Linked DNA regions of Drosophila melanogaster. Changing the gene in region 2 together with the main gene of any one other region gives a genetic interaction. Each region holds a gene or a part of one and is shown on either strand. Other genes may lie near its edges.

Region 1 (4,810 bases), on a different chromosome or scaffold from region 2:
TTTATTGTAAAATTACAAATTAAAGCTTGATCGATAGCCCTAGAAGTTATGTATTAGCCCAAGTTGGTCGACCCTCACATCTTGTCCATGAACCACGGCTGTCCGTTGTTCTCGCGACGCTTGGTGAGAATCTCGCATCCGGTTTCGTTGACCAGCAGTGTCTGCTCAAACTGGGCGGAGTACAGGCCATCGGCGGTCACAGCAGTCCAGTCATCTGGCCAGGTTTCAGCCTTCTGGACGCCAACGGAGATCATGGGCTCGATGGTGAAGCAGTGGCCAGGGGCCATTACTCCTACGGCAGAGTTTTCTGCAAAGTAAGGACATTAATAATATTCAAAGTACTTTTAGCCAGCTCGAAAACTTACTGGCATAGTGAGGCACATTGGGAGCTGTGTGGAAAACACGGTGAATGCCATGACCGCAATAGCTGCGCACCACGCTGAATCCATGTGGTGCCACATACTTTTGGATCACGTTGCCAATATCGCGATACTTTTCACCCGGACGCACGAACTCAATGGCCTTGCTGAGCGCCTCGTGGGTGACCTGCACCAGTTTCTTGTGCTTCTCCGAGACATTGCCCACAAAGAAGGTCTCGTTGAGATCACCATGGAAGCCGCGATGATAGACGGTCACATCGATGTTACATAGATCTCCATCCTGTAGAGGACGCTGATCGGGGATGCCGTGGCAAATCACCTCGTTGACCGATGTGCAACAGGACTTGGGGAAGTTGTAGTAGTTGAGGGGCGACGGATAGCACTCCCGTTCGATGGCGGCCTCGTGGACCAAACGATCCAGTTCGTCGGTGGTGATGCCCACCTCCACGGCTTTGGCACCCTCATCCAAGCATTCTCGACCCAATCTGCCGGCCACTCGCATGCCCTCGATCTCCTCGTCGTCCAGCACCTTAATCTTGGTGCCCCGCAGTGCTTCCTCCGAGAGTGAACGTCCTGCTGGATGATCGGCGTAATCTGGACGTTGTATGGCGTTCGGAACTGTTCGCTTGGGAGTCTGTGGGAACGGGCGGAGCTTGCCGGTGAAGCGGAAATGTGGCCATGGATTGTAGGCTCCATCCTGTTCGGCAGAGTTCGAGGCACCGGCTGAGTCAAGAGAATTATATGGTTTCATTGCAATCCAACTCATTAGGAACAAGACTTTCTAAAACTGACCTGCTAAAGCATGAATCGCCTTGTGCTCCTTCCAGAATCCTTTGAAGCACGGCTGCGAGCAGAAAAATGAGCCCTTGATGCCCAACTTTAGGCAGGTGGGACACTGCAGGGTCGCATCCTTGCCGCAGTTGGTTGTCTCGCACTTTTGAGTCATTCTATTTCAACAATTAATGCGAGAAAAATTTCCGTGCCTGCCAAAAATAGTTTAACACAGCGTGACCGCACCGATAACGATAGAAAATACCTGGAAGCTTTAAAATAAATACCTTTTTATACCATTATATGACAATATATAAGCAATATGGCTTTTTGGGAAATTTGCCTTACGCTTCAAGCAAAATCATAATTCTATTGGTTTGATATTAAATACTGTTTTCTGATTAAACATTAAAAAAGTTGATATTAAATAAATACCAAATCAATGTTTAAGAATGGCGCTACATCGATATCCGATGTTTTCCAAGCACCGATAGCCTGGGACCAGTTCTGTTCTTATCGATACGTTTGTGCCAGGGTTGTTCGTCGCCGGCTGTAACGGGCATTAGTTTAAAATTGGAAATAACTTGATAACCATTTTATGTGTATTTAACCATTTAAAATGTTACTATTATGGTAAGTGATTCGTAAATAGTATTCATATGATAATTAACATAAGAAAAGAGTTAATAAGGGCTTTCCTTACAAATGGTTTAAAATCGTTCGAAATTTGAAAGTAAACAAATTAAATATGTAAGTTCTTCGCGGAGATCTTTGATCTGGCTAAGGGACACTGGCCCCGTGAATTCGTGGCCTTTGTTTTCGTCCGTCGGGGCGGCAGTTCAAACGCAGCCGCCTGTTGGGCACTTTTCCGCAGTTGTTCTCGGCGCATGCTCTTGGTGGGAACAGTTTGGACTTGGACTCGGTTTATCTGTCTGCTCTGTTTATGTTCTCAAATCGCGAGCAACTTCGGTCGTGAACGGACGTGCTTTCGCTGTAAACTCGGAATCGGTGTCGCGAAACAAAAGAATATTGGCAACAAACTTGTTTGAGTCAAATGGCCAAACGCAAATATCCGCAAAGGGCAGCAGGATAAATTTATTGGCCAGTGAAGTGAGTGAGTGTCTTGTTTCGAATTGGTTTGGCCAAAAAAAAAAGAGGACCCCTTTAATATTTCTACCTGCAAGGGATGCTGAGATTTCGGCAGAGTTTCGCATCATTTGCGAGCGCAACTTAACTAACTCAACAAGTGAATTCAAGGGTTTTCGCTCCTCCAATTACTGATTTTGTCCTCGTGATCTTCGTACTCGATTGAAATTCGATTACGATCGTTTTGTGTGTGTGCATTGAAATCAGCGTTATCAGTGTCTGCCCTGATCTTTGGTTTTGCGTTGAACATGTTTATTATTATTCATTTCTCTGGTTTCCCGCGCCCAACGACAATAAGTTAAGTAAACACGCTGTTTTTGTTGAGGATGCTGCTGCTGCTGTCTGTTGTCGTTGCTGCTGTATATGTTGCTGCTGCATGTGTTACAGCTGTTTCCATAGTTGCTGTTGCTGCTGTCACATGTGTTGCTACTGTCTCTTGTGCTGCTGCTGTTTCCAAAGCGGCTGCTGATGTCAATGTTGCTGCTGCTATCGCGTATGTTGCTGCAACTTTTTTAGTTACCGCTGTTGCTGCAATCTCATATGTTGCTGCTGTTTCTATGGCTGAAGGTGTTGCTTCTTTGTTGCTGCTGTTGCTGCTGATAGGAGCGCAGCATTCGAATGGCTATAAATAAAAAACGGCACGCGGTGTGTGCAGCAGTGAGAATCCCCCGGCCCGTCTCCGCCGGATTTTCAGCACCACCAGCATCGCTTGATTATTATTGGTGGGTGTTCTGCGTTTTACGCGACCACACACAGGCACACTGCCACACACACACTATTATCTTCGCCGTGCGGTTTCCACTTTTCCGCTTTTCATTCCGTCGTTAAGACGCAGCACATATCTCGTCAATTGGCAATCTAAAGGCCGCCGGCATAATTAAAATAGAATCATTTCTGATTTCGCTTTGTGTCGCACAGACATGTGTGTCTTATTTTGTTTGTTTGTTTTTTCTTTTTTTTTTGCAATACGGAACAATTGCGAAAGTCAAGGTGGCCGCGAAAAGCCGCGAAATAGTAGGGAATTCCTATGCGATGGCAACGAACTCGATCTCTGTGTACCCAACTCATCTTGTCTGGCCTTTTATTGATTTATTTTTTCCCCGGCAGTCAGTCTACTCTTTTTTTATGTTCCCCTTTGTTTTGACCAACGATCCTCGATCTTCGACGGCAATTAAAGGCAGGCCAAAATGGTCCAGGAAGGCAGACATCAGCCTTAATTTGCTTTGGTTGCATTGCCTGCTCGTCTTCGGAACTTTTTCATATGCTGCGCAGTGCGTACTTTGTTTGTTTGTGTGCCAGCCGAATGGAAGCTGATGGAAATTTATGCGTAGAGAAAGGTGGAAGAATATGAAATGGAAAATATGAAATTTTTGAATTGAGTTTGTGGAGGAGTGGGGGGGGGGGGCTGGGGCGGTACACCTAACACTTCCGGTTGCCAGAATATCAACTTCCGGTGGCGTAGAATTGTTAGCGGGGAAATGCTTTGGCACAAAAGACGCATATTGATATTGTTGCCCAGGCTGCTTACGCTCCAATAAGCACACCCACACACACACATAGGCAGACATACAGACGGGAAGGTCCTTCGTCCTTGGGAGCCAGAAAACGCATTTCATTTTTGCTCCAGTGAGTTGGCCCTTGTCTGGCAAACGTTTTGTGGCAACTTGGCCATTAAGCATTTCGTGTTTAAGCAGCAGGATCTTTCCCTCGCCCTTCCCTCTCAGGACGAAGGACCAACAGGACAGTACAGCAAGGAATAAAAATTGCCCGCGTATGCATTTCTTAACAACATTTCTCCACCACCCTCCCCCTTCGCTCCCCAGCGACAACATTTCATTTCATATTTTGTGGCAGCAGCGCTTTGAATAGAATTCATTTGGATTCCCTTTCCCAGGACACCTCGTCCACTTCCTTTTGCCTTTGTCAGCCCCTGGGTTTCCGCATCCCACATCCCAGAACCCAGATCTTCCACATCCCTCATCTTCCTGGAACACGCACTTCAGACTGATAGCGCCTGCTTAACAAATTTCTGCTGTATTTTTCGGTTCTTGTTCTCCACTTTATTATATTCCGTCTTCTTCTTTTTTTGCCATGGCAATGGGGATTTTTCCGCATTTTTAGCTGTCGCAGCAGGGTAAAAATTAAAAGCGAATTAAGTTCGAGGAGCTGTGGAGGCATCTAAAAGGTATCTAAAAGGTGGACAGCCGAAGATAACTGCACTTGACGCCGGATAGACCACAGGCATTATTAAACCCCAAATTTACCTGCCAACCAGGCGGGGTGGCAAATCTGCAAAAGAGATTTGAGTTATTTTATGGATATTACTAAGTATTCTGTATCTGCTACAGCAGCCATGAATTGGGGGGCTTTTTGGAAAGGGTCTTTATTACACATAACAAAAAAATTTATAAAAATATAGGTCTCTATATTCTTCAAATGGCTCAATCATAGTTATTTACTATTAACTTGCGAAAAATACCCAAAAGTTCCTGTCCTTTTATACATCTTGCACG
Region 2 (8,104 bases):
GTGGGAGGCCGCTTGCGTAACACTCGCCACCGAGCTACAGGATCCGCGACAGAAGTAGGCATTGTAGCCCTCCGGCTTCAGGATCCAGTTGCTCCAGCCGATGTCCCGGAATGATATGTACAGGTGCTCCCGACAGCACTCGGTCATTCCGCTGGAGCAGTTGATGCTGCGCTTCTGGCGACTCTTGCGCCGCCTGTTCTGCATGTCGATCACGATGAATGGCCGGTAATCCTTGTCCACCGAAATGATCTCCTCCATGTCGCTGACATCGCAGCCACCGCAGGTGATTTGGATGAGGTGGCTCAGCTCGTGGCCACTGATCCAGTGTTTGATGGGCCACTCAATGTCGATCTTCATCCACTCATCTGAAAGTATGCGAAAGGAAAGGCAGAGCGGTTAGTTGGGGGTTCCACAGAGCCATCTTCTCTTCTCCCAGAATCGTAGATCCCATCTTTCTTATCTGGTAACTGACCCCAGGAACTCACAACTGTGCTGGGTTGTGGCCAAAGTTCAGTTTTTGCACCCACGAATAATGCTTTGTCAAGTTATTCACCCACATGAATTTCAGATTCGAGCCGAGCTATCAAGCAGTGCTATCACGAATCTGCGCAATGATCTGTCTAATTGAAAACACAAACAAGCGGTTGTCAACGTTGGCACTTATCGGCGTTCTTTATAATTTTTATAATACCCATCTAGTATAGACATGTCACATATTTTGATTTGTCCCCCGAGGGTATTGAGGGTCAGTTTTGGCCGTTCCGCGGCTGCCGACCAAAGGTCCAAACGTGTGCGATTCTTTTCTGGGCATGATTACGCTCTGGGGGGATGAGTGTTTATGCTATACTAATGTATACTATGTGTACCCACCTTGCACATTCACCGACTGGATGGCTATGGTCTTGGCCGCCGACAAATACTTGGAGTCCTTCTGCTGATCCACCTCCACCTCGGAGACTACGATCGTCTGCTGGGCACTGGTGCTGTTCACCGATGCCGTGTCGGTGCGGTTCTGTTTGTTCTTGAAGAGCCACAGGACGGCGGTGCTCACGTCGAAGCCCTCGGCATCTGCGTCGTCTATCTTGAAGGTGAAGCACATGGACGGATTGGATTTTCCATCTCTCGCTCGGTTGCACTCGACCTCCTCTGTAAAAATAAAGGATAAAGGGTTGTGTTAGCAAAATCAGAATGGTAAAAGGATTCCCTTTGAAGTTAAGCTTCAATCTTTACTTTCTAGTGCTTAAATCTAGATTTGCTTACCTCTATTGAGCAGTATGAACTTCTTGCTAGTGCGAGCGTAGTAATCGTCCAGCTCCTTGTTCTTGGTGCTATCGTCCGGATGGGAGAGTGTCATCCCGTCGAAGATGGGCTTGGGCAGCTCCACGGCCGACACCTTGGGGCTCTCCTTGAGGCGCAGCTTCTCCAGGATCTGCTGCTTAACGAACTCGATGCGTAAGTGGGTCAGCTGCTCCTCGGTGATGTGCTCCACTTGGCGATTGCTCTCGCACTTGGGGCATCCTCCGGCGCTGGACTTCACCGAAATGGTGATGTTCCTCTCACCCAATGGGAGCTCTGGCTCTATGGGCGTTTCCGGCTGCTGATCTAGGTCCAGATCGAGATCGAGATCCTTCTCCTGATTCTGCTGGTCCTCGGCCATCAGTTCGTTGCGCACAAAGTCCAGCGGCGACAGATCATCAAAGTGATCATCGGAGGAGAGGGATGACTCCTCGGGGGCATCTCCGTACATGATAGGCAACTCCACGGGCGGGCTCACATGTCGGTGTGCCTTCTCCTCCTGCTCCATGAGGTGTTGCCACAGGCGGGGCACCTTTAGCTGCTCCGAATGGGAGCCGGGATGGTTGTAGCTGAGCTCCTGCTGCAGGAGGTGCTGCCTCTTGTGGATGACGTGGCGCCTCAGGCGGGCATAGTACTCCCGCTTGGTGATCGGTACATCGTCCTCCTCGCTGGTCGGATCCGGTTCCAGGTGTTTCAGCTGACGGGATCGTTGCTGCCGGATATGGTGTTGCTGCTGCAGCTGTTGCGAGGTGTGCTGCACATGGGGATGCGGCTGGTGCTTAGGATGCGGACGAAGGATGTCGCCACGGGAACTCGGATGGGAGCGGGCGTGCAGGCGATTGTATACGTTCCTGTTCTCCAGGGCCAGACACACCAGCAACACCAGGGCTATAAAGTACTTGGCCATTTCTGAATATGTACTTATGACTTCTCTTTTTTTTTAACTGTGAGATATTTTATATGTATCTTATGATCTTCTGGATCGCCTTTGGTTTCACTCTTGTTTTGTCGGCTGGGGCTGATTGCTATCTGTTTGGCAGCATTAAAACATCAATTTTTCCGGCTTTCAGGTTTACAAAACTCATAGAATTGCAGCTGGTTTCACTTATTGTTGCCGTTTTATAGCCTTGTTTAAGCACTTTTAAAACGTTTATGCGTTTTTTATGATTTTATATAACAACGACTTATACGCTTGAATGATGCATGTTCAATATTTTAAACTTTTCGTTAAGTTTCGTCTGCAAATAAGAAGAAATTTGTAACTTAGTTAATATTGTAAGCACATTCCGATTATTAATCAAATAAATTAAAACAGCTATGCCCTAAATTTTCTCATAAATATTTGCGAACGCGCTGCCCCAATTAAAATGCAATTTAATATGCCAGCGGATCAGGTGCATTTATCACTATCACTCACTAAGCCCGAAGTCTCGCTTAATTTTTGCACCAAATTGCATCATTTATTCCATATCGTTGAGCTCGAATTGGCAGGTGGCAAAGTGCAAATCGTTTTTTTGACATTAATTCCGGGAAGATTTAGTTTAGTTCAGTATTCAATTTCACATTATCACATGGGCTATTTGCCCCAAGTGCGACTCAAATCGAAAGCGTAGTTGCGCAGATCCGCTGATAAGCGGGCTCAATTAGATGGCAATTAGGTGGACGTGGACCCCACACGTACCGTGGTGAGCACACTCCGATTTGCTCCAATGGGATCTGAATCTGCTCAGCCGGATGAATCCGGCGGGGGTTGCGGCATTAACTTTGAACCCGGACACGAAACACGAGTGGCACGGGCCTTTAGCTATAGCTGGGATCGCGCGTCTATATAGTATTCCACTTGTGGTATGGTCTATGATATAGTATGGTGCTTCTTTCTCTTCCGACATGCGGCAGCGCAAACGAGTTGTGAATGAATGAAGCGGTTGGCTGATTAGTAGAACAATTTATGTGACGATCGCCGAGCGTTTGATTGATCGTTCCGCGAGCGCCAGCCGAACCGAACCGAACCGAACCGAAACAATCCGAACCACTCGAATCGCATCGTATCTGACGGATCGTTTCGTATCGGTTGCGGACTCGGATCCAAGCCGAGCGGTTCGGGTCTCGATTTATGACTATAGACCATGGTTATGGCTACATGGCGCTCTCTCTTTAGCCGAAGACAATTGGATATGCAAGTGGGGTGCAGCATTGCATCAGCTTCTTGAAAACGCCAAGCCACCGAATTGCATAAAATTCTTAATTGCAATTTTATTTTTAACCTCCCGCCACCCTGACAATGCCACGCCCCCAGTTGGCGGCGTCACTATCTGTTGGCATTTTTGGCACTCGCTTGGCCACAATGGGGCATTTTGATATCAAGTGAATTTATGATCGCTTCAAACCGAATCGAATCGAATCGAATCGAGTCGAGTGGCCCATTCATGCTAATTACCCCGCAGCGTTATCAAGCTTGACTTTGATGATCCGACTCGATTGTGTGTCAATCAATTAATAGTGAACACGTTGCTGATAAGGGGCGGTTTCCCACTTTTGGTCCACAAATCGGGAGCATGGAATATGTAGTGCGGCATTTAACCAATTAAGTACGCTTAGCATGCGATTCTGGGCAATCCTAATCGGATTCGGTTAATAGATGCGCATTTCAAATACATAGTGTGTCTGTTTTCCAATTTAAATGCGAATGGGAAATTCATGAGTATTTCGGTTGGGAATTTCATCAGCCAGAATTTCTGGTCTCGGCTAAATGTGAAGCAGTCGAGTAAGGTCAAGAAAAGTATTTTGAAGGCCGGCAGATCACGAGTTATATTATACCGCCTATTCGATTTAGCCTTAAATGCTGAACACGTGCCCGATTCGCTTGTCACGAACTGTGATTTTTCTGAACCCAATTAGATCATCGAGACGAATAGAAATGATCTATACTATACGGAGGAGAAGGTCCGTTTAATTGATAGAAATTTTGTAGGCCTCAGCGAATTCTGGCAACATTGTTGGTGCGGCTTAAGCAAAAGCAAATTAATAGGGGTTCTTGTTAGGAAATAATACAATAAACAACTATAAGTATTGCATACTCCCCAATTTCATATTAGATTATGACACCTTTGACTTGCACAATTAAGTTTAGTTTTACGTGTTCCCATAAGTTACATAAGGTATTACACTTTTCCAGTGGCCCTTTTCCAATTTAAATGACGTCCTGGCCTTCAGCATATGTCGCACCACTTATCAACTCATCGCATATTTTTCCACAACCTACGTAGATTGCCACGTTCCAAAATCTGCTCCATTTTGTTTTTTCCAACACAACCAACCTGACGTCGATTAAAGCGACTGGGGGCCACATAATGACGGATCAGATCGGATGGGATGGGATCTGATAGAATGGATGGGGATCGGATCAGGAAGCAGGGCTTGGATTGTAGCACACACGCGACATGTGACACGTTTTGTACGTACTCTTCGTTTTTGACGTAACTCGAGCTGTCCGCACTGCACTGGACTTAATGACTGACTTGACTGACCGACTTATCAAAGGCAGGAATCGAAGCCGAGGCGTGCGACTGCGATGTGATGGGGGCCCGCGGAAAAGGGGTGCCGCTGGGAAGGGGGACAGAAGTTGAAGAAGGTCATTTAACGCCCGGCAGTCATGGCTACGTCATCGAGCACGCCACCAGCGCGTGATCAGAAGCAAAAGCTGTAGTGAAGACTCCGCGGTTGCCATGTCGATGCAAATCGGAGCAAAAAACTGCTGTGCCTGTGAATGGGGAGTTGGGGGTCTGGCGATGCGTCGATTGGAGGTGCAAAGTACAGCCGCTTGATGGAGATGGCTTCTTGACTAAGCGACTCTGCTTGGGGGTTTTCCATGGGCCTGCCCGTATCATTTTCGCATTAATTACGGGGCAGCTGGGACTGGATGTGGGGCTGGGACTCGGACTTGGAGTGGGGCTATCGTAATTGCCGGCAATTATCACTTGCATTTCTTCTTCGCGCGCAGCAGTTGAATGCACTGCGACAAAAACACGGCTGCTTCCATCGGTTTTTGGCAATAAATCACGGCGATCACGCCGTTCTCGCCGATCAGCGGTTGGGAGCATGCCACGATCTGGACTTTGGAACCGCTCACGGAGATTGCCCCGATTGCCAGAAGCCAGAGGCCCGAAGCGTCGCAAATTAATCTGCCATAATACTTTTCTCGCCACACGCTCATCGGCGATGCTACCATAAATCAAGTGCAGGATTAAATAAGATCATCATTGGTAGCAACTAAATTTGGCCAATGACTCTCGACGTGGCCGAAATTCGCCAAGAGCTTTTGGAGGTTATGCGCCTGGGTTATAGGCTCGAAAACTATCAATCAATCAATCGGTGATAGATAGGCCTCTGATCGATAAACCATTCACTGCATGATTAGTTTTTAATTACGGCATGATATTCCAAAAGCGAAACTAGAAACTTCCCTGCGATTTGGTAATAACTGATATTGAGCATTAGACTGCTAAAAAAAATATACAATTTCTAGTATCCCATGTTGAGGCTGATTCCATAATTCACATTTTTGGCACTTTTATTTAAACTTCTTACACAATAAGCCCTTGTGTTATGTAACTCACCCAAATTAATAATCCATTGTCAAAATGCTTGAATAACTTAGCACATTGTTTGCAATCTTCTGCGAAAAGGGATGCTTATCAAATGTCCTTGAGTGATTCTACAATCGATTGTCCGTTTATTTGTTTTCGCAAATCACTTTCGCAAACTCATTATTGTTTTGAATTTCACCACTTGAACTTGATTTCCTCAAAATGACGAGCTGATATTTCGCTGAGCAAAAACAAATGTTTTGAAGAAACATAAAGTATTATTCGTTCACACCAAGTTTCATGTACGATTTGCACGATTTGAATAATTTTCGATCCGATCGTTGGGAACGTCTGCGTGTGAATAATTCGACGATGGGCGGCGCAGCGGCCACAAAAGCCTGGAGCGGTACGACTAACGGTATCTGTGGGGAGCGGTATGGGTGTGAGTATGGGCCTGGGTATGGGTATGGGTATGGGTATGGCCCACTCTTCGGGCGGCAGACAGTTGAGTTTCAGTTTGTTTGATAACAGACACGCCGCCGATCATTGGCGCACTCCGCTGCTCTGCGTTTTAAGCGATGCGCAATTCTACTTTGCTTCCAGCAAGTGCGACAGAGAGAGAGAGAGGGAGAGCAGGGAGAGCCACTGATAATGGGTGGCTTTCCCCCCTGGCCCACACAGCAGCGTTTTAGGTCCGGTTGGCTCCCATCCGATCGCCTCCTGCATCGAACACCCACGCCGCTCGAGGCTGGAGCATCGAACAAGTTCGCTGGCCGGCGCTACATGTTCGATGGCCGTTCGTGAGTTCGAGCTTGTTGGGAATGAGGATCGAGCCCCAGCATTCGTCACCCAAAAACGTGAGCTGACGTCGTGCCGGTGGGGTTTTATCGCTCGATCCAACCGGTCCAAAGTTCAGCGGCAGTCCAGTCCAGCGGATTGCCTTTGACTTTCCCTGATAGCCGACATTGCCTAATGGCGATTGGTTCTCACAGCCAAAGCGATACCATCGCTTTCTTTTGATGGCCCAATGTCTATTAATAAGCGGTACTAGCGAGAGGTATGACTAAAATTGACGTATAACCATGAATGCTAGAAGAAAGTACATATGTATCATCGAAGAATATGCAAACAATGTCGTGTAAAAGACTGAACAATTAGATGTAATATAACGAATGAACTAAGTATACTCAATTTCAGACTCCACCCTACGTATGCCTTCCTGTTTTTGTTTAGCTCTTGGCCAGCTAATCGCTTTCCTCTTGACCAATTTACGATGTGGCTTTTACGACGTTTGGGGTTTCTTGTTTTTAACTTGCTGGCTGCTTCAATTGATTACCATGTGTGATATCATAATTTTGAAGTTTTCACGCCCGTCGAGCATGGGTCTCTTGAGATTACCTCGGAGGACAATAGTATGTAAATGGCTAATATTAATTAAATGCTGGCTCTGATTGCGTATCGCTGTGTTTCACTTTCAAACCTCATGCCAATCGACTGATTAAGTCCGTTCCGAGTTTTGTTTACCTTGAGATTTCACAATAAAGCATTCACCTCAAATATAATGCGATGGAATCGCACAATATACCTTTCGTGATTTGTATACTCAGGATCGAGGCAAAATCTCACTCGAAACGTCTAATTTTTAAATGTGGCGCGCGTGCTGAAAAACACGTCACAATGCACGGCTTATCGTGGCCGGGCCTCTGGAATTTCAGTTTTTAATTAAAACAGTGTTTTGGTGTCATAATTAAGTCAACAATATATGATGCTTATACCCTTGATAGGGGTACTATGACTTTAGTTACACGTTTGAACTGCAAGCTTAAAGTTACCTTAAACATCTAAAGATTCATTCTAATATTTTCTGAACTATTCATCGCTTCATTTGATTATAAATGGCCTTATTCGTCTAGACTTTGGCCTTGCATTTGATCAGGAAAATTCTATGACTGTCTAGTGAGCATTTGATTCAAATTACAGATCAGGAAAGTAAAGTCTAAGAATGTGAACTCAAAAAATAGAGTTATTGAAACGATTTGAATCTATTTCTACTATTCCTGGTTTAATAGGTTAAGAAGAGGGCCAGCAGAACAAAGTCTTCTGATTACAGAGGATTTCTTGTTGACAACCGGAAAGTAGCCAGACAAAACACAAATATACACTGTTTTTTATATATTCATTTTGATAACCATTGATAACACCCACGACTTTCGATTTAATTA

What was found. Genes that interact genetically often act in the same process or in processes that back each other up.
Region 1: of daw (region 2) and tok, changing one enhances a phenotype caused by changing the other (phenotypic enhancement), as found in Drosophila melanogaster (one study listed by BioGRID).

The regions. Positions count from the first base shown.
Region 1 is NT_033777.3:24,717,956-24,722,765, forward strand, and holds the start of tok (tolkin), read left to right. Parts: upstream 1-1,741; 5' UTR 1,742-1,784; intron 1,785-2,101; exon of another isoform or gene 2,102-2,265; intron 2,266-4,810. Other genes in the region: CG13630 (uncharacterized protein), read right to left, coding at 75-307, 366-1,103, 1,173-1,326.
Region 2 is NT_033779.5:2,803,410-2,811,513, reverse strand, and holds the start of daw (dawdle), read right to left. Parts: upstream 6,254-8,104; 5' UTR 5,913-6,253; intron 3,193-5,912; exon of another isoform or gene 2,978-3,192; intron 2,535-2,977; 5' UTR 2,204-2,534; coding exon 1,261-2,203; intron 1,147-1,260; coding exon 871-1,146; intron 366-870; coding exon 1-365.